Tamandua tetradactyla: one gene and its partner. The protein of the gene in region 1 purifies or fractionates together with the protein of each later gene. This does not show direct contact. Links are inferred from orthologs where the notes say so. Each region holds a gene or a part of one and is shown on either strand. Other genes may lie near its edges.

Region 1 (16,640 bases):
CTCACAAATGTTCTTACCAACATCAACATCAAATTCTTGGAAGATAAGTGTTTGGGGTGGTTTTGAAAAAGCAGCCAACAGTATCCCATTTGAAGAATTCTATTTCAGCCATTCCTAAGAAGTGTGCAGAATATTAAGACAAAACACTCTTATTTCATATCCCATAGGTGCACAGGCATTCTTAGCCCATGTCTGTAATATTACGAAGTCAGTGGTGGCTTCAGAATTTCCAAAGAGGAGGCTCCAGAATTTCATGGGTGCAAATCATGGAACAGAAGGGGAGATTTATCTGGAAATTGTGTTTGCATGGGAAGCATACTACTGGGAGCAGTGCTTATTCAGGGTGGCTTGGCAGGATAGCTGATATAGTCTAGGGTAAAGGAGAGAACGAAAGACCTTCAAGACCCTCCTTCGAGACCCCTTCTACTAAGCTCCCAACTAATGAATATTTCATATCTAAGTCTACACAGAACGTGCCACTTAACAGGCTTTCCAAAAACCGCAACCAAGAATTATATGGAATGCTGGACCCCGTGAAGAAGAATACCTTTGGGCATTCTCCATTCCATCAAGACCTTGCCAGCTTCCCCTTCTCCAACCATCTCAATGACAGGAGATAACCTATGTTTCATAAAAATGAAAGGCAGTAAGTGGCAACAATCTGTCCTGAGTCAGGCAGTATAATTGAGTTTATGAGCTTTTCTGACCTCTTAAGTCATAATGCATTGGGGCCCTCTATAAAAGACTAACACATCAGAGGATAAATGAATCAAAGGCAGTCTGTGATGGATGGAAAAACAACAGCCCTTAACTCCTACAGACCTCAGCTCCCCAAAATTCAGAGATACTAAGACTGCAAAAAGAGCAAACCTCCACTAAAAGAGTCAATTATCAAGGTCAGATCAATCGAGAATTCCCACAAGCCTACAGTTCTCTCAAACAATACAGGTAGCTACACACATCAAAGTCAGTGGCACAAAGCGTGGTGAAAAGTAGTCTTTCTCTCTCTCTCTCTCTCTCATACTCTCACACACACAAACAGTCATCTCTAGTCTTCAATCTACAGAGCAACAACCTTTTAATGAGAATGTGTGCTAAGTGCTGAGGAAGAATCAGACAGAAGTTTCCCCCTCAAAGAGTTTTCATCTAGTAAGGGAGTTAAACACACACTCACATAGGTATAGCTTTGCAAACATTCATGTGAGTCAAGAAGCAAGACATTATAGAAGCTGTGAGAAGATAAGACGAGTTAGTAAAGAAAGATCAAATCAAGGGAAGTAGTACTCAAACTAGGCTTTACGGCAAAGGGTAGAGGTGTTGTGGGGCATGAAGACAGACCAGGCAAATTTGGGGGAGAACGGTCATAAGCTAGGAAATATGAAAGCAAAAGGCTGCATGAGGAAGCCTGGCTCCAGAGGAGCCAGGGTATGAGGCATAATATGAACAGAACGGGCAGTGTCAGAGAAGCTTGATTGCATCTATGCATACACTCATCAAGCCAACCCTGTGTGTCCCACTTGCATGCAAAGCACTTGTCTGAGGAGCCACACATACAGATGTAGCCTCTGACCTCAAAGAAGAAGCAAGAAATATGTAATCACCAAAGATACATAAAAGGCTTTTTAGCAGGGGAGGCACCTATTCAAAATAATGCCCAGAGAGAACACATATCTGGTGTTAATGTACAAAGGTTGAAGAGATAATAAACAAAGGAAGTGCACAGGCAGAAACCAATTAGGAAATTCTTACATATGACAGAAAAGAAGAGTTCAGACTTGCATTCTGGTAGTAATTCAAGAGCAAAACTGAAACCAAAAGATTATGTATTTCACGTAACTAGGTTCCTGTTATAAATAAAAGGTCTGATTAAGATGTTCTAGATTTTAACATTCAAAAATCATTCTGATGAATAAGATGCGATTTGGGGCAACAGGAAGTAACATGAAATATAAGCTGCAATGGAAAGTTTTTCTTCTTTGTCAAGTGAAGCTCAGATGTCAAATGCAAATGAACAAAATCAGGCAATGAAATGATTTGGAAAAATCGGAAAGTAGCTGTGAGAACTGGTTATTGTGGCTACCGTGTGACTCAAGGGCATCGGTAACTGACAGGGACCCATATCTCTACAGGACAAAAGTAACAGGTGCAAAAATTGCCTTATGTGAATAATTACAGAAGCCAATGAATGAAAAAGGTAATAGCAGTGCTCACAGGACAGTCTAAACCAATGCTGAAAGATTCAAAAAACTCTTAGTGAGTCCGCACTGAGCATCAACCAAGTAAATTTCTCAAGACAAAAGGGGAGGATTTAAAAAAATGTCGAAGAGTAGAATCACTTCTTGAAAAACCTATGTCACTAAGTCATTAACCTACTGGGTACATATTTTGCATAGAGCAGAGCGCTGTGTATTTTAAGAAATGAGAAAATAGAATAGTTCCAGAATTAATCAAAGCCTAGATATGTCAAGGGGGTCTGTGGTTACATGCCTAATAAGGTAAACATAGTTTACATAATGAATTCAGTGTAGAAGAGGATCCTTGGGTTCTATAGTATATGGCTAAGAGCCAATCAGCAAAGGAAAGCTCCATGAAGGATACTTTGGGGAACCAACTGGTTGAAAGCTATGACTCATTTAACCAACTTGGCCGCCAGTGTGCTCTCTCTTCTGCCAGCCCTGGGGTGTTGGGTACATACAATTAAAACAGGCCTGGTAGCTTGGAAGGAGTCAAGACTCTTGAAACTAGAAGCAACTATTCCTTCAATCCTCCTCTTCCTCCCTGATGGAAACAAATCAGGCCTGATCCACTCGCATCACTGCAGACCATGCGACCATTTGGAAAATGCTTTAATGCTATCAGAACAGTGCTTTTCAAATTTCAACAGGCATACGAATAACCTTCAGATCTTGTTAAAATGCAGATTATGACGCAGTAGGTCTGAGGCAGGACACGAGATTCTGCATTTCCAATAAATTCTTGGTGATACTAATGCTACTGGTCTCTGGACCACCTTTTGAATAGCAGTAAGGTATTAAAACACCTTCGGTTGCTGTTACCAGGGGACGATAGGAAAATCATCGTTTTCAGAGTCAGAACGCTTGAACTCATAATTCAAGAAATTAAAACAGCTGGGTCTCAATGTGGATTATAACTCACGAAATCTGAGTGTTTAGGGAGGAAAGAGGTTCCTGAAGAACACGCAGGACCCCAAGCTGGAGGTGATGGAGAACAGAAGATTGCAACAAAAGAATGGACAGGTACATTGCTCATTAGAATAAATAGAAAGGCGAAAAGACTGGGAACAAAAACTTACAATGCATTATAATAGAAGTTGTAATAATAAAAAGTGAGATGATTAGAAATTATTTTACAAAAATATTAACTTTAGGAATAGTGAATGCCAAACGTTACTATTTCAATTTTTTTTCCATATACTTGAAGAACAAATACTGTCTTTTTTCACCCAATACTATGGGTTTTAGAGGACAAAACTTAATTGAGCTGTGTAGTAATGAAAGAGTCACTTAAAGCAGTAGTTAAAGGATTCCTCCTCTGTGCTATATACATACTATACGGAAATGCAATTATGGGACCAGCAGCTACTCCCCTGCCTAAAACAGCAGTCTGAAAACTGCCAATCTGTAGCAAATTCTGCCTTTTCTGAGAATATTTTAAGAAAAGTGGTGGAGACATCTTTGCACGGCAACAGGACACTAATTATATCCAGACAAGTTTCCTTTTTTTTTCAAGAAGAACATAGAAAGTCCTTCAGGGGCTTTGTTTCTTTTCCCAGATATTACAAGGCAAATGTGGCAACATTTGATAATTTTCTACCTTAGCAAGATCCTTCACAGACATTTTTATCCATGTGGGGGAACAGAGAATGAAAAGGGCATAATTAACCAAAGAAAAATGATAGGCCACCAATACCAAGTAAGCTTTTTCTTTGTAAGGAGGAATGAGTTCTGGCTGAAGTAAACATGCTATTTATTCAGGATGCATGCTCAGACACCTGTGGTGGGAAATTTTCAAAATAACTATGGTTTCTTTTACCTTCTTCTTTTTTTTCCCAATAGTAGTAATCTTCAATGGACTCCAAAATAAAATACGTGATATTTGTCAAATCTGACAAATGTTCTTTTCTTATTAGTTAAGGACTATGTAAATGGTTTCTTAATCAACTTCAATGATTTCCTCTACTAACTTTTCAGAATAGAAAAAATTTGAAGAACTCATCGTGTTCAATTCTTGTCACTGTCATAGAAGGAAAATGAGACCTTGAGACACCAAGAGACTTAACCCGGTCACCAGAAGCCAGGATCCCCAGGACAGTTTGCAGTAGTCTTCACCAGCTCTCTCCTGAGCAGTCTTTCTTCATTCAACCTAAGGGTCAGGTCTGGGTTACCTTTCAGTAACATTTTGTGGCAAATATATTTTTGCAATTTCTTTTATACATTTTCCTCTAAACTAGGAAAATGAACAGAGATTTGGCTAAACCTGAAAAAAGAAAAAGATTTGACTTGATGACATAACATTGCAGGCCTTACTCTCTGTAAGGCCTGGGGGAGTACATTTTTCATTTATTTCTTAAGCCATCAAGCAAATCCTGGATGTAGACCCAGGGCTTGTGAAGGCAAATTTATAAATTTCAGAGCACTACCTAAAAAAACAAATACAAACTTAAGCCTAGAAATACAAATGTGAAAGTAAATTATTTATTTAGACTGAAAAATGGCATCATAAAAAATTACGACTTTTTAAAAACTCCAAATACCACAAATATAAAACTTAAAAGAAAACAAATATTTGTATTAATTAAATGCCTAATACATCTCTGAAATATTTTTCCAACTTTTTTACTGCATATTCTTTGATCACCTCTTCCAATGATATTCTGCAATATTCTCTATAGAGAGAACAGAAAAACAATTCAATCTTTTCTCTAGCAGAGTTGATCAGAATTTGCAATTTATTATTGAATAACTTGGAAAAGTTTCTTTCAGGATCATAAATCATTATAGGTAATGAATGTCATGAAAGATTTTCAGATTGTCTCCAAATTTGGGGAAACCTCTATTGAGTATCTTTTATATGAGAGCTGTAAGATTCTTTGCTGGATGACATTCATCAACCACACTGTAAGGAACCCTTCTAGGGAGAGGCCTTGAAGTCTAAGTTTCATTTACTTCATGGTAAATATACATTGGGGGATCATCAGATCTCCCCTACATTTTTCCTGCATCCTTGAACTCCCCCAACTCCTTCCAAATAAAGTGCCTATTTTACTCAGCATCCCTAAACTCACTGATGGCATAAATATTACATGATTCAGCCAAGATTTGATGTATATATTTCATTTTCCCACTAACAACTGAGATTGGAACCTCACCAGTCTTAGATAGTTGCCCTGCAGCTAAATCTTTCATGATGATTGCCTTGGTTTGAAAGAATTAGGTACCCTAGAATAAGCCGGATCCATTTTGTGAAGGCAGCTGTTTCTTTTAATCCCTATTCAGTACTGTAGATTGGAAACGTGATTAGATTATCTCCACAGCACTGTGACGCACCCTCCTGTGGGTATTAACCTTTGATTAGAGGGAGATCTGACTCTACCCATTTCTGGTGGGTCTTAATTAGTTTACTGAAATCCTTTAAAAGAGGAAACATTTTTGGAAAAAAAACTTTGAGAGCCACAAGAACTAGGAGAGCCCATGCAGTGAGAGACTTTTGGAGGTGAAGAAGGAAAACACTCCCGGGGGAGCTTCATGAAACAAGAAGCCCATAGAGAAAGCTAGCAGACATCACCATGATCACCAGGTACCTCTCCAGTTGAGAGAGAAATTCTGAATTTCATTGACTTTTCTTGAGTGAAGGTAACCTCTTGTTGGTGCCTTAGATTGGACATTTCTATCGACTTGCTTTAATTTGGACATTTTCACAGCTTTAGAATTGTAAACTTACAACTTAAATTCCCCTTTTATAAAACCATTCTGATTCTGGTATATCGCTTACAAACTAGAACAATGATCTATAGCTCTGATCCTGCAAAAAAAAACTACAGTTGTTATAGAACTCTTCAGAGCATAAAGGTCAAAATCAAGAGGCCATGTATTAACTACACCCAAAGGGGCAATTAGTTGCTCCACGGTGGGTGTGGAGATCTAAAAAGCTGATCACCTACAAGTTTTCAAATTAGTTGGACCTCAAAAGTTAAATCATCCCCTTCTCCTTTGGTTCTGTTGGATAAATTCAGCATTTACTGCCCTAACCAGCAGTTGTTTGAGGCCTCTACAAGATGATGGTCCTAAGTGCCCAGAATTGGGGGTCGTGAAGACAAATTTTTAAAAACAGTGCAAATTCAACTGCTGTAAATGGTCACACTAGGTCCACCACCAAGACACCATTACCAGACTAGAAACAGTAGAGTTTCCTCACGCAAAGAAACCATACCCTATATCTTGATTTCTTTTAGTACAAAGATGATCTGGAAGAAGACAGATCAATGCAAACCAAGTCAATCAACTAAGAAGCACTGGGTTGATGATATTAGATACTAGATGTAAGTTTCTCCTCTCTCTTGACATTTTTTACCCCCTTCCCCAAATCCCCTCCTAATACACAGGCACACACACATATCCTACTCCATGAAACATAGCCTAGAAGACTGCAAGCTGGACAAGCTTCAAATGCACATGCACCACCACAAACCAAAGAGGCAAACCTCAATTGACACTGAGCAGACTCCATTTTCCTTATTTATTAAATAAATATGATAAAATTTATCTTGTGAGTTCCTTTTGAAGATTAAATGAAATAAGTAACGTCAAGTGGCTGGCTCAGAGCAGATTCTCAATAAATGCTAGTTCTTTCTCCCTCTCTTCCTTCATCCTACTTCTCCCTGAGCTGAATCAGTATACCTGCACAGCATTCCAAACTTGTAACATGCCAGGCAAAGAAGAGTAATAATCATTATCTTGCTCCAGTTGGAAGCAACAAGTACCTGGGGAGGAAACCATTAAAAGGAAAGGAGGGGAGTACAAAATAAGAAGTGAGCATTTTTGCTGCTGACGCTTATCATCTAAGTCATTTTCACCGCAAATCATAAGTTAAATCTGCTGAAGCCATAGAGGAAGGTCTGAAGGGCAAAGGCTAACAAGGTGATAGAGTTGTGCTTTTATGTGGAAACTGGCTAAATAATGGCATGCTATAGCCAGGAAGCAAGTTTCCTCTGCAGCTTATTTTAAACGGTTTTGTTGGTTTGCATCAGACCTGGTGCTCAGGAGACAGTGGCTTCTATGGTACCACACTTCTCTGAGATCAACTCTGCTTCACTGCTTATAGATCAAAACATTAAACCCCGATGAGAAAAAAGAAACTTGTAATCTAAATTTACATTTTAGCATTTCATTTTAATGAAAGACTCCTTTTGGCTAGATTCTAGGGGAAAAAAGAATTCTGTATTTATTGGACAATTTTTTGATGAAACTTGCGAAAAGTTTTGTAATGGCTTTGAATGTCCTACACTAATTCAAAATGTTTAGCCAACGGAGTAGGAAGAAAACTCCTAGGAGCTCTCTGTCATGTTTGTCAGAAGTTGAAACATCTTTCTCCATATCTCATCAGAATAAAGGTACTAATACTGTTCTTTATTGCCTATTTAGATCAGGGTTAACATGATTTTTACTGAAAATAAAGATTTTATCAAACAGAGAAAACCCCCAAGACACAATCACTGCTTGGTCACTAAAATGCCAGACCTAAGTTGCACTACACCCTGTAGGATGAGGTGGAGGTTCAGTTTACCATTTCCTGGGTGCTCAGTGATGTGCCAGACACTGCAGAAGACCCTGGGGATAGAGAAATGAGTAAGACACACCCCTTGCCTTTGAGACCTAACGAACAAGTGAGTCATGTAAAGATATAATTTCACTGTTATTAAGAGCTGAGAGAGTTTTGTACCCGGAAGGGAACACTTAGCCCTACCTGGGTCATTAACAGCAGGTTTCTTTAAGAAGATGACACTTGAGTTAAGTCTTAAAAGATGAATGCAAATTAGCCAGATGACAGGAGTCCCAGACAAAGGAAAGAGCTTGAGTAATGGCACAGCTGCCTACACTGCTGGCAGCATGTGTGCATGGTGATGGGGTGGACTGGAAATATCATCAGTGAGAGGAGAAAGTATTGGGCATGGCAGGAGGTGGACCTGCAGAGTCAGATGGAAACCAGGTCACTGGGGGCCTTGTTAGGCCAGATTAAGAAGTTAATAATAATAATAATCAAAGCTGATATTTATTGATCAATTACTATGCCACAGGCATTATGCTAAGCACTTAAAAGCATTATTTCATTTAATCCTTAAGAAAACTCCCTGAAGCAAATTCTGTAATCCCCTTAATAGATGAGGGCACTGAGGGTTACAGAGATAAAGTAATTTGCAACAAATTACACAGCCAGTAATGGGAAATGTGTCTGGAACTCAAGATGGCCTGACTCCAAAGCTTGTACCCTACCTACACTCTCCTACATCAAATGAAAAGCTGGATGGACATATGGGGTCCATTACGTTGGATACAGAATGGAAAGTGGAATACAAGGTGGCCTACGTGGGCCCTGGAACAAGGTAGAGATAGATAAGTGAAGATCTGTCAATGAAAACATATTTTCAGAGGGACTGAGAAGGAAACATTCAGCATGCGCTCCATCCTAATGCATTTAACAGCACGGGCTTTTGGAAATGGCATCTAGAAAATGAAACACCAGTATTCAATAATTCTTCCAAGTTAAAATGTACATCCTCTTTGCTTGCAGCACTCTCCCAAATGTTATAAACTCAATGAGGGCAAAAATCATGTCAGTCTTATTCATTCAGCATGATATCTCCAGGGCTGAGCATCCTGTGTGGCACAAGGAGACCCCTAATAAACATTGCTGAGAATGAATTAGCAGCGGTCACTTTTTACAATGGCACTGGGGTGTCATTCTTAATTGGAAAATTAGGGTTAAAAAGGAATAAAGAAAAATTTTAAAAAGTCATGGATAACTGAGTAACAACAGTCAGCTGAAATGGAAAGCATTTACCAGTTATGCTGACTACACAGACAATAAAGAGGAGCCGTCACCATGGGATGGCTAGTTTGAAAAGTCGGCACTGAATTCAAAATGTAATTAGTATTTTGTTTAAACTATAACTGGTTAAAAATAAGATGTTACTAAAGGAAGTAGCCTGGGGGGGAAATGTGCTTTATGGAAATAAAGTAAATAGACCAGAGATCAAATTCTGGGCCTAATGATTCCTAGTCTCTGATCCTGACAGAAGTAACAATGCTGTTAATGTGATTGTAGGAACCAGAAAGAAATTTATTCTTATGACACTTGTATGAATGTTTAGGTATGTGAAAGTAAAGAATCCTTTAGGTATGTGAAAAGTAAAGGTCATATTTTTCACATCTAAACAGTTTTCAGGCATTTACATTTTTCCCTAAAAGAGTAATTTCTTAATTTTGAGTACTTATGAAGAGCGAATCTACTAAGTCAAATAATAGTAATGATATACTTGGCAGTGAAATTTATTCTTGTACTGAAATCTATTACTCTCTTTTCAATCTACTAAACAGATGATGGTATGATATACTCTCAGCTTACCTAATAGGAGGCTATAAACAAACTCATTTCCTCATATCTTATCTTACTCTAAGATATTTTAAAAAATGATTTGACCGTTAACCAACTATGTTAGAAAACACTGAAACTATTTCCTGACACAGAAAATTAAAATGCAAGTAGAATTAGGTTTCTCATCTTCACTATCACTATCTCAATCTTCAACCATCTTTGAAAATTTAATTTGGGTCAAGTGAATATAAATTCAAAATTATTTATTTCAACTATTTTGAAACTTTAATTCCATAAAAGTATAAAAGTGGGGTTTGTTAAAAAAGACAAATAGAAAATTACCAGGCTTTTAAACTGATTGTTTAAAAGTGTATATATATATATGGAATGTAACTGACTCATGAACTGCTGAGCCCAGAATTTGCAAATTATAAATCTTATTTTTGTAAACAAAACCTAACCCATGTAGACAAACAAAATTGGAGCCCACTAATTTTCTTCTTTCATAATCTGAAACAAAAGTCTTAATTCTTAATGTATGCAGAAAATTAAGGGTGCCACTTTTAATTATTTATTAGCAAAGACAGAGCTCAGTTTTTAAGAGTCTAGAGTAAAATCAGAGACTCTTGAGCATTCTGTTAACTGCACTGTAGGAAAACATCCCAAAACAAAAACAGTGAGGTTTTATTAAACCCTTAGGACTTAAATTTGTGTTAGGATTTTTGTTTGTTTGTTTACAACAGTACTTCTTCCTCATTTCATTAAAAACTCCCACCCTCAGGTTACCGTTGGTCTACTTCAAATAGGCAGCCTATGAAATTTACCACCTTCCACACCACCCTAAAGGTAAGTGTAAACTGTGTCTCCCCATGATATGGAGTGTCATCCTCTAAATTTCATCCCAAATCTGCACAGGCCATCTCCAAGCCATCAAAAGAAATAAAAGAGCCCACAAGATGTTAAAGATAAAGGGGACATCAAGTTATCTAATCTGAATCCAACTGTGTCATTTTACAGGTGAGAAAACTGCATGCAGCCCAAAAAGGTCATATGACTTGCCCAAATACTCAGTTACTCAGACCACAGCTGCAGATAATCAGTTATGTGGCCCTTAGCTGCAAAAATTCTAGCTTTTGAGGTCTCAGAGATTCTACACTTTGCATAACAAAACCTTAGGAACCTAAATTCTGTATTCCCCCCCCCCCCAAAACTGTAGAGATTAAAAGCTGGTGGGCAGCCGAGGCACAATTTTAACCCTTTCATTTCCAACCGAAACAAGAATTGCAGAGAATCACCAACTCCTTGCAGGCAGGACTGCCTTCCTCTCAGCAGCATCCCCAGCAGCTAGTAGGCACTCAGCCTTCCATCTGACCATCCCCACTGCCCATCCAACGCCAGGATGTCAGTGGAGCCAGATAACTTTGCTTTGAAAATCATTTCTTTTCTTGAAACTTTTATCCAATAGCTCAGAAGCCCGCCTTGGGGAATGCATTTTCACTCTTAGGCGCTAAGGAGGGAATAAATGGCCATTTAAAGGGGTGTCTCGGGAAGAGAAGAAGGTGGGTGCGCAGCATCGCCACGGCCCGCAGTGACCCCAGGTGTGCGAGCTGACTTGGCGGCCTCGATGGCTGCAGCTCCGGGCCGCTGCTTCCCTGCCTTCTTCAGATAAACCAACTTCTCAAACTTCCCTTTCCGGGGGTGGGGGCTCGCCTCGGCCGCGGCCAACACAACGCCTTTTCCTACTCGCACAATGCGGGCCAGACGTGCCCCAGGCCCCCTTCCACTCTAACTTTCCTTCTCTTTTAAAGAAAAACTCACGCACCCCTGCGGCTACCGGAGTCGGGCTGCGTGGGTGCCGCGAGAGGAAACTTTCCCGTTTCCGCCCGAGCGCTAGCTGCTCCGGCTCGACTGTCAAGCACTTCGAAGGGGCGGGGAGCCCAGGAGACCCCAGTCAGTCCGCCAAGCCCCGGCTGGGGGGTCACTCACCCGACTTCTCAACTTGCGGCGGGATCGTGCTGGCGATGCGCGTCCACAGGACGATATGCAGCGGCCACAGGCCCCTGAGCAGCCCCCGACCCATGGCAGACCCCGCTTCTCGTCATAGACCGAGCCCCGAGCGCAGCGGACGGCGCCTCCCCGGTCCCCTGGCTGCGCCTTCGCCAGCTCCGCGCCGCGCCTTCTCCGAACCCCGCGCCGGGCCCGCAGGCCTAGTGTGCGGGCCAGATGTGGCGCCCGCGAGCGAGCACGGAGGGGGCCCGAAGGCTGGCGAGGCGCGGGGGGGCCCCCGGCGGCCAAGGGGAGCTGCGCAGGAGGCTGGCTCCTGCCCCGGGCGTGTGCGCGCACTGAGGAGTTGTCGGTCCGTGCGGCGAGTGACTCACTCACAACTTCACCCGGGCGCTGCGGGGGAAACAGGAAACTCCTCGCCAACAGCTGGGCAGGACCTCTCGCAGCCGGAGAGCCTTCTCCCTCTCCTCGGCTTTCAGTCCCGGCTCTCTCTCAAAGCTGTCAATCATCTCCCCTGGACCAGCCCCTCTGAGGGCTTTGGCAAACTTTCAGCTGCCCCTCACCGCCCTCCCACACCACTCTCCAAGTTATTTGCGCAGAATGACTAACGGCAGGCCTGTCAGAAAAGCAGCTGAACCTAGGAAGTGTCCACACTTTCTGTAGTCCCCCCACGAAGCCCACCTTCCCAAGTCCTAACCTTTGGTTTGTTCCTGGGTGCTTTACAGAGTTGTGTTTTTCAAACTATCAGTCGGGACCCATGAGTGAATCCTGAAATCTGTTTTCGTGAGTCGAAGCCTGTTTTTTCGCTAAAATAGTAAGGATAAGTAATGACTTCGTTAAAATTATGTTCAGTTATGTATATATGTATGGGTGTCACATTGTGAAAATGTCTTCTTACTGGTATATACCAAGTCCATCAGGTTCTCTCAAATTTAATGCGTGTATGGGCCACCTGGGAATCCTCTGATTCGATAGGTCTGGGGGGGCCTGAGTTGCACTCCTTGGAGTTGGCTCCATTTTCAGTAGCAAGGCTCTAGAATTGCCTCTTCCTGGGGTTGAGTCCGTGCATAATTGTAAACGGTCAACCATCACAGAATGATAATGGAGGAAATGTTATTTTCAGAATGTATCAAGTATGGCAGAAAATGGAAAAATGAAAGTGACCTGGGATTCACCAAACGCCAGCGTTTGCATTCCACTATTGCCCAGGAAGAGAACTACCTAGCATCTCATTTGCAAAAAGGATACTAGTGGGAGCAGGATAGGACCTTTCAAGTTTCCCTTCTTGCTAGGGCGACCAGTTTTACCCAAGGTAATTTTGGTTTACATCTATTTTCACAATTTAATTATTATTAGAACCCCCTTTTCTCTTTCAGATATGTCCTGGCCGGAATGACTTATATGATCATACTACGTCCAGTTTTCAGCGTCTTAGATTTTGTGTAGCTTGCTGGCCAGGAGATCTTCCAGCAGGCTATACAATGAATTCCTTCATCTGAGAAAACAATTGTTTGCAGAGGCAGGTGGTCAGTTTCACTGGGAATAAAAGTAAATACTTCCTGAAACCCTACTCCTGAACCCACGTCAAAGGGCTCATTTGTTTAATCCTGGGACCCTAAATCTCACCCCCACTGCTCCAGCATTGAAGCTGCCTCTGGATGTGTCTTTTAGGAAAACGCCCATCCCACATCCCTTGTTCAGGATGCAGGAAGTGGGTGAACTCAGCGTAGCTGAACATCTTCTCTCCCACCAACAGCCTTGCCAAAACTGGAGACCCTTTAACATGGAGGAAGGTTCATTGAAAAATCCATTTTTCCCCATTTTCTCTACAACCCCTCCCCCCACTTCTGTCACTATTATCCCTTTCCTGGAGTTACTTGGGAATCTCCTAACCACTCTTCCTCAGGGTCATTCCTCAAAGCAAAGCTGGAGTCCCTCCAAGCTGAAAACCTGATTATACCAATCCTCTGATTAAAATAATTAAACAGCCTCCCACTGCTCTAAAGATAAAGAAAAGACAGAAAACAATTTTTTAAATGTATTCAACCCCCCACCTCTCCTGTAATCTTCCATTTTCTACTTCCTCTCACATGCAGGGAGCCTTCTCTAAGTTCCTTTAGCATGCCCCGTCTCTCCTACACAGGGCCTTCCTCAGTGTGAATTCCCTTCCTCTTTCCTTCTCTTCCTCGTCACCAAGCCAACTCTTGGTTTTCCTTGGTGAATCATAATTTCCTTGATGGGCGAGTATATTTCTCTAAGTGGATTTTTTTTTATCAGTTTCTCTTGGCACCATATGCCTCTCCTTTTAACATTTACCATGGCTCTAATTTCTCACTTATTTTTCAATTATTTGCATCATTCCTTAATTTCTATTCTTCTTCCTAACTTAACTCTAATTTCTGGAGGGCAGGAATCATATCGTCCCTCCACTCACTATTATAGTCTCAGTATCTAGCACCTAATAGATTTTAAATAAATACATGTTGGATGAATGGATGTTATAGGCTGAATCGTGTACCCCACAGAGAAGTGTTCAAATCCTAAATCCCTGTCTTGTGAATGTTACCCTTTTTTGGGGAATAGGGTCTCTGAACATGTGATTAGTTGAAATGAGGCAAAACTGGGTTATGACTGGTGTCCTTATGAGAAAAGAGAGATTTGGACCCAGGAACATACACCTGGGAAGAAGTGCTGCCCCTGCAAGCTAAGGAATACCAAGAATTGTGGCACCCTACCAGAAGCTAAGTAGGAGCAAGGAAGGAGTCTCCCTACAGGTTTCTGAGGGAGAATAATTTTGCCAATACCTTGATTTTTGACTTCTAGCCTCCAGAACTGTGAAACAATAAAGTTATCTTATTTATGACACCCAATTTGTTATGGCAGCCCGAGGAAGCTAATATAATGAATGAATGAGGAAAAAAAAAGTTCATAAGAAAATTTTACTTAATTATCCTAGTTACTTCATAACTCTGAAAAAAAGCAGTATATGACCTGGTAATTTGAGATGTAACAGAACAGATTATATCTGGAGGGTGATGTTGCCACCACTTCCATTTCCTGAGAATGGAGATATATGTGAATTATTTTCCCCTTTCTTTTCCTTTTCTAAATTTGCATAAGTTCTTGTGGGCAATATACATGTACTTCCTTACTCCCCAGATCACACTGAAGCAAATAAATGCCCATCAATTCCAAGGCTTTTTTTTTTTTTTTTTCTGTGGTTATCAGAAAGATAGATGTTTTGTATTGTTAGAGGCCAGGTTTGGCTCTTGCCTGCCATCTTTCTTTACTTGCAAGAGTGCCTGTATGTCCTCTTATATTTGTATCTAATAAATTTCCTACTTGCTTGCTCTATCTGTTCAGTACCCTTGAATTCTTTCTTGCAGCGCAGTCAAGAACCTGGAAACCAAAGTCCAGCAACATATTTTGGTGTTCCAGCCAGAAGACACTTCTCTCTAACTGTCTGGATTGCCCTCCAAGAAACAGAAAACTTAATAGACAAAGGTCTCCTCTTTTTCATTTTCTAGAGACCAGGATTGAGATATTTGATTTCACAGTGCAGTGTTTAACTGGTAGCCTTTGTCATATTTTATCATTAACATTGATTTACTTTTGTTTGCCTTTAAATTTTCTGATTTAATTTTCAATCTCCTGTGAAATTGAGAAAAGTATGAATTCAGCATTGCCAAGAACAAATTAATCTTTCAGAAAATATCACAATGAAATCATTGACATAAAAATTCATGTACATTATAATTTGGCAATCTTAAAAATCTGTCAATATGCCCTTCTGTTAGAGATTCCCATTGAGAGAAAAAGATGATAACCTCAGATTAAGACATTTTTTTCATGTACAATTGTGTATTTGGCTTAATCAAATTTTCTGTGTATTCTCATGGGTGGTTAATATATATATGCATAAAATGGGCCATTTGAGGTGGAAACAGGAAAAGATGAAAGTTTGGCTCAAGATTTTTAAAATAAGGAAGGTAATTTTTATACCTACAAGGTTGAAAAATGATTTTAAATACACCTTGACAGCCATTTTTCAGTTTTACAAACTCTGCACACATACAAACAATTAAACTGAATCAAAATATGATTAATCCCATACCCTGAATTTCCCAGCAGTGATGAGACAAAAACTTTTTTTTTCCTCTGAACTTTCTAACACGCAGCTGTTGAGGTTATTGGCAGCTATAGAAGATGACAGGGAGATTCCTCTCCATGCAAATCATCAATCTGCAATCTCAGCTATTATCTCTTGACCAATGTTCCCCTTATTAAGAAGCAAATCAGTAAGCCCCGAGATGTGAGTGAAATTATTAGGGTCACCCACTTTTTAAGGATCATCCATAAAGCTAGCTCCTCCAGGAAACTTTTCCTGATCCCCCCCAATCTAATAAGATCTTTCTTCTCCCAGGAAGAACCCAGGTAGCCTTCATTGTATTTTACCTATTTTTTAAATGTTTGTCCCATTATGACTTGGAATGCATTCTAATTATTTGTCTATTTGTTGGAATCCTATTCCAGTAATTGTAAAGTCCTTTATTGTACAGATTATACCTTTTCCAATTTTGAACCCCACTATGTGCCCTGCAAATGATAAGTTCTCAGTGGGTATATCTCATCTTCAATACAGGGAAAAATAGAAATAAAATATTTGTTCCCCTAATCCATTCCCATGTTGTAGTTCACAGATATTAACAGAATATCCACAGACATTAATAGAATCTGAAATTATGCCGTATGTTTATAGAAGCATTGATAGACCTTTTAAAAACTGTAACCTTATTTAAATTGCAAAAAATATGTTAATTATAGGCAAAAGAAATCTGAAATACAGTTAAGCAAAGGGCAGAAAATGAAAAACATCCTTAATCCCAACAATTTAAGATAATTGCTGTTAATATTTTGGAGCATGTCCTTACAGCACTGTTCTAATCTTCATTTTATGGATGAAGAAATTGATTTGATGGATTAAATATGTAAAGGTCACATAACTAGTAAGTTATAGACCTAGA
Region 2 (16,361 bases), on another chromosome or scaffold:
CCAACACAATGTCGAATAACAATAGTGATAGTGGACATCCTTGTCTTATTCCTGATCTTAGGGAGGAAGTTTTCAGTTTTTCCCCATTAAGGATGATGTTAGCTGTGTTTTTTTCATATATCCCTTTATCATGTTGAGGAAGTTCCCTTCTATTCCTATCCTTTGAAGTTTTTTCGACAGGAAAGGATGTTGAATTTTGTCAAATGCCTTTTCTGCATCAATTGAGATGATCATGTGATTTTTCTGCTTTGATTTGTTGATATGGTGTATTACATTAATTGATTTTCTTATGTTGAACCATCCTTGCATACCTGGGATGAATCCTACTTGGTCATGGTGTATCATTCTCTTAATGTGCTGCTGGATTTGATTTGCATGAATTTTGTTGAGGATTTTTGCATCTGTATTCATTGGAGAGATTGGTCTGTAATTTTCTTTTATGTAATATCTTTGTCTGGCTTTGGTATGAGGGTGATGTTGGCTTCGTAGAATGAGTTAGGTAGCTTTCCCTCCACTTCAATTTTTTTGAACAGTTTGAGCAGGATTGGTACTAATTCTTTCTGGAATGTTTGGTAGAATTCACATGTGAAGACATCTGGTCCTGGACTTTTATTTTTTGGGAGCTTCCTAATGACTGATTCAATTTCTTTACTTGTGATTGGTTTGTTGAGGTCATCTATTTCTTCTTGAGTCAGTGTTGTTGTTCATGCCTTTCTAGGAAGTTGTCCATTTCATCTACATTGTCGAGTTTATTAGCATAAAGTTGTTCATAGAATCCTCTCATTACTTACTTTATTTCTGTGTGGTCAGTGGTTATGTCTCCTCTTCCATTTCTGATTTTATTTATTTGCATCCTCTCTCTTCTTCTTTTTGTCAACCTTGCTAAAGGTCCATCAATCTTATTGATTTTCTCATAGAACCAACTTCTGGTTTTGTTGATTTTCTCAATTGTTTTCATGTTCTCAATTTCATTTATTTCTGCTCTAGTCTTCGTTATTTCTTTCCTTTTGCTTGCTTTGGGGTTAGTTTGCTGTTCTTTCTCTAGTTCTTCCAAGTGGACAGTTAATTCCTTGATTTTTGGTCTTCTTTTTTGATATAGGCATTTAGGACAATAAATTTCACTCTTAGCACTGCCTTTGCTGCATCCCATTAATTTTGATATGTTGTGTTTTCATTTTCATTTGCCTCAAGATATTTACTGATTTCTCTTGTAATTTCTTCCTTGACCCACTGGTTGTTTAAGAGTGTGTTGTTGAGCCTCCATATAGTTGTGAATTTTCTGGTCCTCTGCATATCAGTTTTTTTTTTTTTTTTTTTTTTTTTTTGGCTTTTAAAAAGGGGAATTTAATAAGTTGCTAGTTTACAGTACTAAGGCCGAGGAAATGTCCCAGTTAAAACAAGTCTATAGAGATGTTCAATCAAAGGCATCCAGGGAAAGATACCTTGATTCAAGAAGGCTGATGAAGTTCAGGGTTTCTCTCTCAAGTAGAAGGGCATATGGCAAACATAGTCAGAGTTTCTCTCTCATTTGTAAAGGCACATGGTGAACACAGTCAGGGCTTCTCTCTCATCTGGAAGGACATATGGTGAACACGGCATCATCTGCTAGCTTCTTCTCCCGGCTTTCTGTTCCATGAAGCTCCCCATATCAGTTTTTAAATTTTTTAAACATAACAACATACAAACACAAACATTCTTACCATATGATCACCCCATTCTTGGTATATAATCAAGAATTCACAATATCATCACATAGTTGTATATTTATCATCATGATCATTTCTTAGAACATTTTCATCAATTCAGAAAAAGAAATAAAAAGAAAAAAGAAAAAAATTCATACATACCATACCACTTATCCTTCCCCTTCATTGATCACTAGCATTTCAATCTACTAAATTTATTTTAATATTTATTCCCTCTATTATTTATTTATTTTTAATCCATGTTTACTCATCTGTCCATAAAGTAGATAAAAGGAGCATCAGACACAAGGCTTTCACAATCTGCCTATTACTGATTTCCAACTTCATTCCTTTATGATCTGAGAAATTGTTTTGTATGATTTCAATCTTTTTAAATTTATTGAGACTTGCTCTGAGACCCAGCATTTGGTCTATTCTTGAGAATGATACATGAGCACTTGAGAAAAAGGTATATCCTGCTGTTGTGAGGTGTAATGCTCTATAAATGTTAAGTCTAGCTCATTTATTGTATTATTCAAATTCTCTGTTTCTTTATTGATTCTCTGTCTAAATGTTCTGTCCATTGATGAGAATGAGGAATTGAAGTCTCTAACTATTATGGTAGATGTGTCTATTTTTCTTTTAAGTGTTTGCCTCATGTGTTTTGGTGCACTCTGGCTCAGTGCATAAATATTTATGATCGTTATGTCTTCTTGCTGAGTTGTTCCTTTTATTAACAAATTAATATTTATTAATATTAAAATAGTGTCCTTCTTTGTCTCTTTTAATTGTTTTACATTTGAAGTCTAATTTGTTGGATATCAGTACAGCTACTCCTGCTCTTTTCTGATTGTGTTTGCATGAATATCTTTTCCCAACCTTTCACTTTCAACCTATGTTTATCCTTGGGTCTAAGATGCATCTCCTGTAGACAGCATATAGATGGGTCCTGTTTTTTAATCCATTCTGCCAAACTATGTTTTTTGATTGGGGAGTTTAATCCATTAACATTTAGAGTAATTACTGTAAGGGCAGTACTTTCTTCTACCATTTTGCCTTTTGGATTTTATATGTCATATCTAATTTTTCTTCTTTTTACTTTTACTGATAGTCTTCATTTCTACACTCTTCTCCACACCTCTCTCTCCTGCCTTTTCCTATCTGTCTCTAGTGCTCCCTTTAGTATTTCTTGCAGAGCTGGTCTGTTGGTCATAAATTCTCTCAGTGATTTTTTGTCTGAAAATATTTTAATTTTCCTTTCATTTTTGGAGAACATTTTTGCTGGATATAGAATTCTTGGTTGGAAGTTTTTCTCTTTTAGTATCTCAAATATATCATATCACTGTCTTCTCACCTCCATGCTTACTGCTGAGATTTCTATGCACAGTCTTATTGGGTTTCCCTTGTATATGATGGATTGCTTTTCTCTTGCTGCTTTCAAGAGTCTCTCTTTCTCTTTGACCTCTGGCATTCTGATTAGTAAGTGTCTTGGAGTATGTCTATTTGGATGTTCTGTTTGGGGTACACTGTACTTCTTGGATCTGTAATTTTAAATCTTTCATAAGAGTTGGGACATTTTCAGTGATAATTTCCTCTATTAGTTTTTCTCCTCCTTTTCCCTTCTCTTCTTCTTCTGGGACACCCACAACATGTATATTCATGTGCATCGTATTGTCCTTCAATTCCCTGAGTCCCTGCTCATATTTTTCTGTTTTTTTCCATTTATTTTCTTTTGCTTATCAGATTTCAGATGTCCTGCCTTCCAGTTCACTGATCCTATCTTCTGTCTCTTGAAATCTAACATTGTAGGTTTCCATTGTTTTTTTCATCTCTTCTACTGTGCCTTTCATTCCTATAAATTGTGATTTGTTTTTTCAGACTTTTGATTTCTTCTTTTTGTTCATTCCTTGCCTTCTTTATATCCTCCCTCGTTCATTGATTTGATTTTTGACAAGGTTTTCCATGTCTGTGTGAACATTCTGAATTCATTGTTTCAACTCCTGTATCTCATTTGAATCGTTGGTTTGTTTTTTGACTGGGCCATAACTTCTATTTTTCTAGTATGATTCTTTATTTTTTGCTGGTGTCTATACATTTAATTTCCTTAGTTAGTTTATTCTGGAGGTCATTTTCACTTTTTTTACCTAGGATTTTCTTGCTGGATGACTTTGTTGTCTATCTGTTCTTTGACATTCAGTTCAGCTTATTCCAGACCTCTAGCTTAGGTTTGGTTTAACAGATCAGAATTTTTCAGTTCTTATTTTCTTGTTTCTTGCCCTGCCTATATGGTGCCTTTTTTTCCCTTTCCTTAGGAGGGTCTACATAGGTATTTTAGACCCCAGTCAGATTTTCCCAGACCAAACTGGCTTCCACTCAGAAGGAAAGAGTCACCTGCGTCATTTTTCTGAGGGTGAGACCCAGCAGGTTGAAAGACTTTCTTATGAAGCCTCTGAACTCTGTGTTTTTCCTATCTTGCCCAGTATGTGACACATGTCTGACTGCAGGTCCCACCAGGATAAGGTGATGCAGTACCTTTAACTTCAGCAGACTCTCCCTTATGGGGGCATGGTGCAGACAGAGGAGAGGTTGTAGGCTGGCTTTAATCACTTCACTTTTCCAGGCCCTGGGGTCTGAATTCCTTGAGGGAAGGATTCCACCTGAGCTGGGCCCCACCCCTCTCCTGGGGAAGGCACAGGCTCCAGACAAGCTCTCAGACAAGCTTAATTCTGCCCATGCCTGGGGCAGTTGGAGCCTGAGAAGTCCTGTAGCTGTATCCAAAGAGCAGTCAAGCCATAGAAAACACAGACACAAAAAGGGAAAGAAAGAAAAAAAAAATCCTTTTCAGAGTAGGATCCCCATTCCTTGGGTTTGCCAATCAAGAGCTTAAGTTGTTATGTTGCTTTGTGTATCTCCAGGTCCTATCTGTCCCCTCTTTTCCTTCAGGGTCGAGACCCTTCCAAATATTTTGTGCTGCCTGATCAAAAAAACCTTTTTTTCCATCAGCCCTGCCCCCTCTGCGCTGGAGCAAAAACCAGCAACCTCAGCTTTTACTCGAGGTTCAGCTGAGCTGAGTTTACTACTTTTTAGTAGTAAGAATTTGTTCATTAATTCCACAGTTGGAGCTTGGCTGTGCTCAGCCCCTCTGGGAAGCTGCCTGTGGGGGATGGGCGCCGGCCTCTGCGGCTTGGGGGACTCCCGGTTCTGGGGGGCTCGCAGCCAGTCCAGCTGGTCCAGACTGGGGTATGCTGTGTGTCCAGTCACTGACATGACCCCAGCAGTTGTTCTGTACTTTTCCTGGGTTATTTACTAGTGGCTCTGGAGCACGAACTAAATCCCAAACCTCACTAAGCTGTCTTGGCTCCCGTATGCAAATATCTTGATTGATTTACTTTGGGAGTTGATTCCCTTCGGTAGTCTAAGGCCTTGTGTTTGTGGGGTGGATGTGGACTCGGATGCAAGGTATGGGGTGGGGTACAACAGTGATACGTTGCAGCCCAGGTAAAGGCGCAGGTTGGGGATGTTACGCTGGTGCTTGAGAACGTGGGCGCCCAGGGGCCAGGGAGGACATAGCTGTGCGTGTGTACAGGTCTGGGGGACGTAACCCTGGTGGGTGCTGGTCTAGGGCGCAGGGCCCTTTGTGTGCATGCGCAGAGCAAGGCATCAGGACCGTGTCCTGCCTTCATGGACTGGGGCAGGTGTGACCTGGCTGCGCAGGTCGGTGCTTTCTCAGAGCTGAGGGCTGTGCACATGCGCGGTTCTAGGAGTGCCACAAACGGATGCTTCCAGAGCTGAGGGGCGTGACTGGTGGCCAAGCGGGTCTAGGAGCATTGTCAGCTGATGCGCAGATCTGAAGGTATGCGCCCGCAGCCTTATTGCACTGTCAACACCCTGCAGGGAGGAGAGATCAGGAGGTAGTGCTCAGAAGGTGTGCAGGAAAGGTAGGCTGGGCTGCACTTGGGGTGGGGGTATGGGGTGGGTGCGCACTCTGGGGGCTGATGAGCGGGGGGCTCTTGGAGCGCGGGGAGTGGGGGCGAGTGATGGTGTTCAGGTGCGTGGGGTGTGGGGTGAGTCGCGGGTCGCGGGTCGCGGGGCTGCACTGATGAGAGTAGCGCATTCAGGGCCCGCGGCTTGGCTTACTTTCTAGTAGTCCCCGTTTCCCCATCCGTGCCCAACTGTGGGCTCCATGCTTCTGCGTTAGGCTCCAGTTTTCTGGTTCTCAATTCCTCCGCCTCTGCAACCAGGGTCGCCCTATGTGGTGCAAAAGGCTCTCCCAGATCAGCTGCGCTCTTGAATAGCCGTCTCAGTGGCCCTCCCATCCCTTCTCTAACTTTTCCTTGGAGCAGACCTGACTCAATCTACCCTATTCAGCCATCTCCCCTGAACCAGAGAGCCTAGGTGTTTTTTAAGGTTAACAGGAATGATATTGGTTGGGCGTAATTATAGGTAGGTTCAGCTTCTCTGCTACAGAAATAAGTTTCATTAAGAGCAAGACTCAAGATCAAAGGCTTGGCCTGTTAACTTGTCTCCCTAGAGTTTTCTACAAGTTCTTCCTCATATCCCCCTGAAGTGGCTCCTGCTTTCCGGAGAATCCAGTGGGTCCTGTTTGTAACAAGGGTGGGGTGGGTTGTTCAGCATGAGGGTGGGGGTGGAAGGGAGGTTTTGGAACAGCCTCCCGTGGCGTCCCTATCTCCACCCCTGGACACCCCCAGCACCCCACCCTGCGATGCCCACAGTCACCAGGACATCACTGCTCCACTCCAAGTTCAACCCAGGTGGTGGTGGCAGTGAAGGACCTGGGGTCATCACCTGCCAGCTGTGGATCTGAGGGGCCACTTATACCTCTGGGAGCCTGGGGTTCCTCCTCTGCAAAATGGGGATGTGAGGGCCACAGGGAGGCTGTGAGGACTCAGAGCTGATAAGGTGACTGCCTAGGGCGGGCCTGGCGTGGAAGGAGCGTCCAGCCCTTGGGTGCTGGGTTTACTGCACCTGGGGCACAGATGCTGGAACTGGGGCCCGGGGGACCCTATAGCTACCCACCTCCCCACTGAAGCCACCCTGTGCCTCATGGTGCCCATGTCCTCATCTCCGCAGCTGCAGGAAAAGACAGTGTAATAACCATTCTGTGGGTGGCCCCCTCTGCCCCCCTCATAGCCCTCCTTGGCCTGCCTTGACTCCATGCCCATGCCTCATGGCAGGAACTGGCCAGGCAGCCATGGGGTTGGGTGAGCTGACCCTTTCCCCAAACCCCATCCAAAGAGACCCGCCCACCCTTCCCACTCCTATATCAGCTCCTGCAAAGACAAACATATGACCTACTCTGGTCACCGGACCAGGCCAGAGCGTCGGAGGCATCTAGGGCCAGGCCTCGGCCTCTTATTCCAGACTAACACCTCCCTCCAGAGGCACGCAGGAATCCAATTTTCTCCCCACCCCCTGGGTCACGATGTCCCCACTGTGATCCAGAACAGATGCAGGGAGAATGGCTTCATCTCCTGCTGGGTACTGCCAGCACATGCCAAGATTTGTCTTCTCAAAGTCAAGCCCCACTGGTTTCCTCCTCCAGAACCTTCCATGATTTCCCATGGCTTCAGGGTAAATTCCTGCCATTCAAGACCCCCTCGAACAGGGCTGGAGTCTGCCTCTCCAGGCTTACTGCCCTCTCCTGACCCTGTCCCATGGTGGGCCAAGCACATCCCACCTCCATGCCTTTGCTCAGGCTGGTCCCCCTGCCCGACCCATCCACCTCCTCCCTGTCTTCTACACACCCCAGACTCACCTAGTCTTTCAAAAGCCAGGTCTAAATGCCACCTTGCCCAGGAAGCTCGGGCTTCTTTCTCTGAGCTCCCCTGGGCCTAAGCCTAGGTTCTGCCCATGACTAGTATCATGTTGGACGCATAGTAGGTGCTTTCTGTTTGCAGCATGAACGGCCACCCCACCTGCAGCCCCAGCCCCAGCCCAGTGCCAGGCTGCTCTCCCAAGTTCCAGGATTGTCTCCCAGGGCCAGGGAACGCTGATGGGGGCTTCTGCGTGTCGGGTTCAGGGCTCGGTGCGGTGCTGCCTCGACCCGGGAACTCTCACCGCAGCCTGGAGAGGAGGGCACTGTTGTGCTCTCACTTTACAAACAGGGTGACAGACGGTTTAGGCGACTTGGCCAAGATCTCACAGCTCAGATCAAGCAGTGCAGGGTGTTGAACCCAGGGCCATCTGAATTCAGAAATGCCATTGAAGGTCTGTCCCATCCTCCTTTGTTTGGGGTTGTCCTTTGTCCCTGGAGGATTTTCCACCCATGGAGGGATCAGACACAAAATGTGTGGCCCTGGGCAGACCTCCTGCCCTCTCTGGGCTCAGAAACCCCAGATCTAGGTGAATTGCTGGGCCGACTTGGGAGTGTTCCTTCCTTACTCTGGGCCTCAGTTTCCCTGCCTGCAAAGCAGAGGGACAGAAGCCCCATGTTATGGTTACCTCAGCCAGCTTTGGACCCTGAGGGGCACAGGTTTGAATCCCAGCTCTATCCCCTTTCTGGTCAACAATCTCACCTCATTGGGCCTCTGTTTTCTTATCTGCGAAATGGGAATACCAGGTTCCCAGGCTGTGAGTCCCACAGGAACCATCTCAGCCAGGGCTGCCTGGGAAGGGCCCCTTGGTGGGCTGTTTGGGTGATTGTTCGCATCTGGTCTCCAGGGGCTGCCAGATGCACCCCCACTGGCCAGACCTGGAGAGGGTGGGGAGGCAAGCTTGGAGCCTGGGCCCTCCCACCCCCGCTGACCCCCCACCCAGGCCCCCCACCCAGCGACAAAGCCCGTGGCACTTCCTCTAACCGTCTGGCAGGCGGCCTGGCCCGGCCCCTTCTCTAAGGAAGCGCATTTCCTGCCTCCCCGGGCCGGGCTGGATGAGCCGGGAGCTCCCCTCAGCCGACAGTCAGACCTCAGGCTCCATCCGTGTCCACGGGACCACCGCGCTCGCTGCTGCCACAGGAGTCCAGTGTCCCCTCCCTGCCCACTTCTTGGCCAGCTGTGGACCCAGGGCCCGGGCCTGCGCCCTCCTGCCCACTTCTCCTGACCCCTCGGCTGTCCCCGCAGAAGGCTGGAGCAGGGACGCTGTCGCTCCGGCCGCCTGCTCCCCTCGGGTCCCTGCGTGAGCCCACGCCGGCCCCCGCACCCACCCACAGCCCTGCCCCTGGACACCGGATAAGGCCCAGCGCACAGACCTCCGAGCGGACAGCATGGACCGTGACGCCCGTCTCCTGGTCGTTGCCCTGTTGCTGGCCGTCTGCAGCCTCAACCCCACAGGTAGGTGTCCAGGGACCTGGGGTGGGGGGACTCAGGCCCGGGGTGGGTCAGTGCCTGGCAGATCTTGAACCCGGTCAGTGCCCTGACCTCAGGCCTGGTGGAGCCTGTCTGGTGTCTTTCCTGGGGGGAGGTGGGGGACCTGGACATCCAGAGGGGGAGGCCACAGGGTGACCGACCATCCCGGCTGCTGGGTTTGGAGGACGCAGGGCTTTCAGAGCTAAAGTGTCTCAGGCAAACCGGGATGAGCTGGTCACTTTAGCTCTGGCCTGCTGGCGTCCCCATCACCCAGCTGCGCGGCCCTGAGGAGCGTGTGGGAAGGAGCTCGGTGCGTGGCACCCTGGGCCTTAGTTTTTGGAGCTTGGGCTCCGGAGTCAGGCTAGGGCTCAAACCTCCACTTCCTTAGCTACCCGGTGTGATCTGGGGGTGCTGCCTTCGTGTCGCTGAGCCCGTTTCCCCAACCTCTGAGTGGGGATGGTGACAGGACTCCCCCCTTGGGGCTGCTGTGGGAGGGGACCTGGCCGGGAGGTGAGGCGAGCCCTCAGGCCTGCGGCTCGTTTCTGTGTTGTTTTATGGAGAAGCGACTCCCAGAACCCTTTGGAACAGCTCGCAAGGCCCTCCCGCCTCTCTGCCCCTCCTCTCCTGGTTAGGGGACCTGCCAGAGCTCCTCAGCCTGGAGGCTTCTCCGGGGCTCCTGGCCTCTTCGGGCTTCTGAAACTGACCAGAGGAGGGGTCCTGAGGAGGTGGGGTGCCAGCCCCATCTCACCTGCCGTGCCTCCGCTGTGTCCTGCCCCTCACCCTCCTAGAGCCACAAGACAGGACAGCCCAGGGCCACCCCTTCAGGGTCTGGAGGAGGAAGAGGGGAAGGAGGAAGCCCTGAGGGGGGGGGGGCAGTAGGGGGAGACGAGAAGGGGAACAGCAGCAGCCACGGCCACCCCCTCCCCATCTCACCCCACCCCTCAGCATTTAAAATTTACCAAACCTTGGTCTCTCCAACTCTCACCACTGCCCCATAATACATGGGGAACTAAGTTTTAGAGATGCAAGTGGCTTAGGGGGGATTAGACCCCAGGCTTGTGCTCCCCAGAACATTTGCTTCTAACCATGTATGATGCGGCAACCCCTCAAAATGGCTCACAGCCATCCTGCAAGCCGGCTGCCATCACCGCCCCCATTTTACAGGAAAGGTAAACTCAGACCTGCCTGATTTCACATGGTTCCGTCAGACCCCTATCTGGGTTCTGACGTGCCTGTAGGTCCGTCTCGCCTTTCTCTCCCATCCTCTCACCCATTTCTAGCATGGTAACGTCCTATTCCACTTGCTCATTAGAGAAAGACCCATGCAGACATTTTGGGTCTGGTTTTACAGAATCAAGGTGGAGGTATGCTGGTGAACAATTAACAACTGGTGACTGGGGGAGCAGGCAAAGGAGGGTGGGAATCTGATTTGGGATGTCTGTCAATTTCCATGGTGTCAATGCTCCCACATGGCTGATGTCAAGTTACCAACTCACTAGCCCAGCCAGGAATTGACGCACAGCAGCCCACATCATGCGGTATTTCCACCACATTGATACAGTAGATAAAGATAACCTCAAGAGCAGAAATAATAGTAAAATGGAGTAAATTATTTAGGAGGTGATGAGTTTCTATGTTTTTAATATAATTTATATAATTGTAAGTTTATATGAGCTACTTCGAAATAATGGCACTGTCTGACAATTAGTTCAGAGAACACCTGGAAATTTTTCAGCCCACTCTTAGGAGCAGGCATGAGCCAGTTCTGGCACACCACGGTTCAAGGGTAACCATCCAGCCCAGCTCACGTACGGCCTGGGAAACCGAGGCCCACGCAGGGCAGATGAGGGCTCCAGCACGTTGCAGAGCACAGGCCCTTACAGGCTGGAACCCAGCTCTTTCCACGCCACGGGTGGGGATGGGGTGACCCAGTGTCCCCATTCATGCCCACAGGGGTCCGGAAACAGGTCCAAAAATGGGTCCAGATTTCTGGGAGCCCAACTCAGCAGCAACTCTCAAAACTTTTAACTATGCATGATTCTTGGTCCCAGCAACTTATCCTCCGGGGTCAGCCCTATGGAGATATTTTCCCGGCTCTCTAAAGATGTGTGACCCAAAGACACCTGTAACCAAAACCCAACTAGTAGAAGCCACCTAATGTATATCAGCAGGACACCTGTTAAATAAATTATTACGGAGAGGTATACTAAGCAGCAGTCGCCAAGGAAAAAGACGGGTCTCTGTGTATACTGCCGTGGACAGATGACTGCAGCACACTGTTAGATCCCCAATATTTCTATCATAATAAAATAGTAAAAATGTACAATATGTACAGAGGAAATTCTGGAAGGCTGTGTACCCAACACTCCTCTTTTCCAACATAAAGGTTTCTCTCTGGGACGTTCACCATCTAAGTCAAATTTTTCTGTTATGTTGGGATTTTTTTTAAGAGCAAGCATATGGAGATATTTAAAAAACACAAAAAACAATTTAACCACTTAGTTGCCTCAGCTTACCCCTCAAAGAAGGTAGATAAGAGAGGAAAACATTATCTCCCAAACCCCTTTGTAATATAGATACTGTTACCATGTTGGTGGATTGCCTTCTAGCTTTTGTCTAGCTTTTTCAGGTAATTTAAATCCAGATGGATCAAATTTGGGTGTCTTACATAACCTTTCTCCTGTCCCAGGAGTTTCCATATTGTCAGATGGACTCCATAATCATCCCGTTGTGGTTCTAGAATATTCTCTCCTTCAAATGAGCCATCGTTTACTTAATGAATCCCCTATTGCTGCATATTTAGTTCATTTCCCCTTGAGTACTGGTTATAAATACCACCTCAACACACGTTTTTGGCACATGCACCTTTTTCCATATTTTGTATAATGGTCTTTGGGTAGAGTCCCAGAAGAAGGGGTGCGGGGGCTTGTGGCCCATGTTAGGTGGCTGGGATTGAAGAATGTTTCCTCTGTGCGGGTGATCGTTTGCTGGAGGATGGAGCAGGGGTGTGGTCTGGGACTTCCGCGACTCATCGGAGAGGAGGACGAGTGACACAGACCAGAGACTGGATAGATCCATCATTTAGAGGCTGCATTTGGGGACAGCTACCCATTTGCCAGGAGGAAAACAAGGTTGGAGAAGGAGCTGGGTGAGCCAGGAGAGGGTGGGTCTCTGCAGGGCCATGGCTTGAAAGCTTCTCCCTTGCCTTAGGCAGGCGGATGGTAACACTAAGGCCCAGAGAGAGAAAGCCTTGCTCAGGGTCGCAGGTGGGTCAGTGCTGGGCCCTCTGAGGACAGCCTGGTCCATTGACTCAAGGACCTGGAGTGAGCTGGAATGTTGAGGGGCAAGAGGGAGGGATCCATCTCTCCAGTGTCCTCAGTACATCAGGCACTGTGCTGGCTCTTTGCCTTTATTCCCAGTTTATCGATGAGGAAATTGAGGCTTGGGACAAGTGGTAGGCTCAGATTCGAACCCAGTCCCAACTTCTTTCCCCTTCTCCAAGCTGGGGCCAAGACTTCAGGCAGCCTGGGTTCCAGAGACTTGGAGAGCTGGTTGCCCTGGCTCTGAGATCCCCCCACCCAGGTCCGGTTCGGGCTCTGCAGGGTCAGCCCTAGAGGCTGAAGAGGAGATTCAGGAGGAGCCGAGCTAGCTTTCACACCTGTGTGTGTGTGGGGGGGGGGTAGGGCTGAGGAGGGGAAAGGGGTTAAGGGGCCAAAGTAACAGGTGACGTTTATTTAATGCTTACTGTGTGCCAGACTCTGCTCTAGGTACGTTATGTGTACTCATTAAAGCCCTGTGGGGTAGAGCATTCCTGTTATTCCCATGTCACAGATTAGGAGACTGGGGCTCAGTGGGTGAAGGAATTGGCCCAAGTGGCACAGCCCAGAAGCAGGCATCTGGGACTCGAGCTCTGGACCTGTTTACAGCCCTGTACTGCCACAGAGAGATGATAGGGCCCTCCCTGTGGCCCCATAGTCTTTTTCCAGGAAGTTGGCCCCTTCTCTTTCCCCTACCGTGACCTTCCCACTTGGAGCACAACTCATGAGACCCTGCCCCTACCCTCAGTAGCCCCGTCAATGCCTTGCCCTCTCTTCCTACTTCCACCCCCAGGCAGAATCTCAGAACTTCAGAATCCAGTGGAGTGTGGAGCATCTCCTGTCCATTGTTTCCTGCCACCCCAGTATCCACATGGAAACTGAGGCTCAGAATGGTGGAGGGATTTGACACAGGTCATCTGGCAAATGAGAGCCAGGCCTGGCAAGCCAATTCCACAAATGTCTGCTCGTGTTTGTCTGTTCCGTGCCCTGGGCTGGGCTCTGGGGACTCAAAATGACTTAGACTTCTTCCTGTTCTGGAAAAGCTCCCTGTCTGCTGGGGGAGGCAGACACACAGACAAATAAAAATGACACACTTAGGCATGTGTGATTCTAGGTGGACGTCCAGGCACCAGTGTCCCTGAGAGGGGAGAAACTGGTTCTAGTGGAGAGATTTCTAGAATAGGGTTTTGAAGGACGAATAGAGGTTGGCCAAATGGTCAAATAAAGGAAGACCATTCCTCTGGGAAAGGGAATGGCAGTGGTAGGGAGCAATGTGTGTATTTGGGGTGAGGGTGGGGGAAACCCAGCATGTCTCCATTGACTGGGCATAATCATGACAATAGGTGTCAGTTCCTGAGCAAAGCCCATGACTCAGGAGCTAGCTTAGCATGGTGCCTGTGTTATCCCGCTGATATTCTCACCAATTCGATGAGGAAGGTTTTATGGTCATCGTCACCTCCATTTTGCAGTTAATGACATTAAGGCATGTAATGGAAGGTGAGAGATGGCAGAATCAGAGTCTGAGCCTTTGGCATCTGTCAGAACCCCAAGCCTGCACTCTTTCAACTCCACTCTAGGTTGCAGTGTATGGCCTTGACCCTGAGGGCACTGGGGAGCCATGAGAGAGGCCAGAGCAGAGGATGGCTGAGGTCTCTCTGATGGCCAGGTCTCAGGGAGAGCTTGCACGGGAAGGAGCAAAGCGAGACTGAGTGGCTGAAGAGGAGGGGACAGGCTTTCCAGCAGAAAAGACCTCTGCCAGAAAGAATCTGCTTTGGTATTCTGAAAGAATAATCACGGGTGTGGTGTACGGAGCACTGAACGCGGTGACCTCCTCAGACTGACACACCGTCTGTGAAGTGGGTTCTGCACTCGGGAGCTGGAGCATCTGGGTTCAAATTCATACCCTGTCTCTAAGTAGCTAGATAAACTCAGACAAATTATTTAACCCGTCTGATCCTCGATCCTAACTTCCCTGATGCTTGACTCTTGTGTGTAAAGTGGGTATAACAATAGTAGCCGCCTCTTGAGGTGCTCTTAGGGCCATATGAGTTACCTCACATAAAGCCTTGTCGCTGTATCTGGCTCCCAGTAAGCATGAGGGAGGCTTTTGCTGTGATAATTGTTGTTTTGCAAATGGGGAAACTGAGGCTTGGAGCGGTTAGGCTACTGCCCAAGGTAACCAATTTCAAAGAGGCAGAGCTGGGATTGATTCAGTCATCTGGTTCCAGAGCTGCTTCTCCCGACCACTGCCGTCCGTGGCCCCCCAAGAGCTGGGGTGGTCATTTGGAAAGACCTGGAGGTGGCCATGTGCTCAGTGGGCCCGCGGGTGGGGAAGGAGGATGAAGGGGCCAGTGGCGGGGAGGTGGTTCCAGGGTCCTTCACTTGGGCGCTGGACACCCAGGCCCCCAGCGGCGCCTCCTCTGACCTGGGTGCCGGGAGGTCTCTGTGTCTCCCTTGGTGCCAGGGGATTGTTTTCAGCTCTGTCTGGACCCGCCTCCGGCTCCGGGAGACGGGCCTGGGCGTCACACTCCCTCCTGTCTCCCCATTCTCGTCTGCGGGGTGGGGGCGGCTGGGATTCGAAAAGGCCCCAAAATAAATGAACCTCTTATCTGATCTCCCAGCCTGGCCTGTTATCTGATCCTTACATAATGGCCAGGCCTGTGGCCTCTCCCCACTGACGCTGACGGCATGGAGGAGGTGGCCCCAGGCGGCCCCAGAGATCCGGGAGGAACTGGGGTTCCTGGAAGTCTGGGGAGGGGGCAGGGAAAGTTCGAAGGGAAGGAGGGAGATGCTGTGCTACTGTGCAAGCCAGGCCCCGGGTCATGTGGGGAGAGGCAGGTCCCAGGCCTGGCCTGGTCAGCCCTCTGCTGTATGACCTTGGCCCACCCCCCGACTCCAGGCCTCAGTCTCCCCATCTGTAGAGGAGGGGTTGGACTAACAGCCAAGGAGACTGTGTGCGCTGATAGGGATAAGGAGAGGGTGGAGAGCACTGAGCCCGTTGGTAGGCTGGAAGGGGTGAAACCGTGGGAGATGGCACCTTGAGTCTACTGGGGCGAGGCAGTGAGGTGGCCTGGAGATGTCGGTGACTTCCCTCCCAGGGGGCCCTCACTCAGCCTAGGAGGCTTCTCCGTCCCACAACATCGCCCCACCCCTTAGACAGTTCTACAATGACCGAAGTCAGTCAAGGAATGATAAGAACAATGGGCATATGCCCTGTGTCATGGAACCCTCCCAGCAAGCTCTGAGGTGGGCTCTATTCTTACTGTCACTTTACAGACGAGGAAACTGAGCCCCGAAGAGGTGAGACCATCCACCAGAGTTACATGGTTACTGAGTGTTGGGCCCGAGACTCAAACCGAGGTCTGCCTGGTTCTCGGGACCTTGCTTTTAGCCCCAAGGCCATGCTGCCTGGGCTCTCTGGCGTCCCGGGCACTGTCAGTTCAGGGTCAGGGCAGGAGTGCGTAAGGCCTGGGCTCCCATGTGGCCTAATGTCCTTGCCCTGAATCTCCCCAAGATGGAGCTGGGGGATGGTGTCGCCATGGCGACAGGCGGCCACATTATGACCTTCTCTGTTCTCTGGGGTGCCCTGAGTCCAGCAAGGTTGTGGAAAGTGGAGAAGGGGCCGAGTGAGGCAAAAGAAAGTCTGGGTTCAGGAGAAACCTCCCTACCCCACCCCTCCTCCGAGCTGGCGTCAGCTGGACGTGCAGCCAGTCCCTCCGCGCCCATCTTTGATCTCCAAGAAAACAGGAAGTGAGCGCGACAAGATGGAGACACAAACTTCCAAACAGTCTCCCCTTCTCTCCTCCTTCCCTCCTCGGGAGCCCCCCCTTTCCCCAGCACATTCCTCAGGACGAGGTGTAGGAGCCTCATTTCCTCTTCCTTCCCTGCTGGGTCAGGGTGAAATTCCATTCACTTCCCTCAGGACCTGGGTTTCCGGGCTGCCCAGTGGCAGCCTCTGCGGCCTCCTCCGGCATCTTCCCTCCTAACCTGGGCCGCCCTTTTGGGTCACCCTGTCCCTGGGGGTCAGGAAGCACTCAACCCTCCTCCAACTAGAG

Evidence for each region.
Region 2: the proteins of TGFBR2 (region 1) and ENG purify together in Homo sapiens (affinity purification with western blotting; 3 studies listed by BioGRID). This does not show direct contact. The link is inferred for Tamandua tetradactyla from reciprocal best matches to the Homo sapiens genes TGFBR2 and ENG.

The regions. Positions count from the first base shown.
Region 1 is NC_135341.1:57,539,965-57,556,604, forward strand, and holds the start of TGFBR2 (TGF-beta receptor type-2), read right to left. Parts: upstream 12,123-16,640; 5' UTR 11,693-12,122; coding exon 11,599-11,692; intron 1-11,598. UniProt on the Homo sapiens protein: Transmembrane serine/threonine kinase forming with the TGF-beta type I serine/threonine kinase receptor, TGFBR1, the non-promiscuous receptor for the TGF-beta cytokines TGFB1, TGFB2 and TGFB3.
Region 2 is NC_135328.1:50,692,629-50,708,989, reverse strand, and holds the start of ENG (endoglin), read left to right. Parts: upstream 1-8,548; 5' UTR 8,549-8,907; coding exon 8,908-8,974; intron 8,975-16,361. UniProt on the Homo sapiens protein: Vascular endothelium glycoprotein that plays an important role in the regulation of angiogenesis. Required for normal structure and integrity of adult vasculature. Regulates the migration of vascular endothelial cells.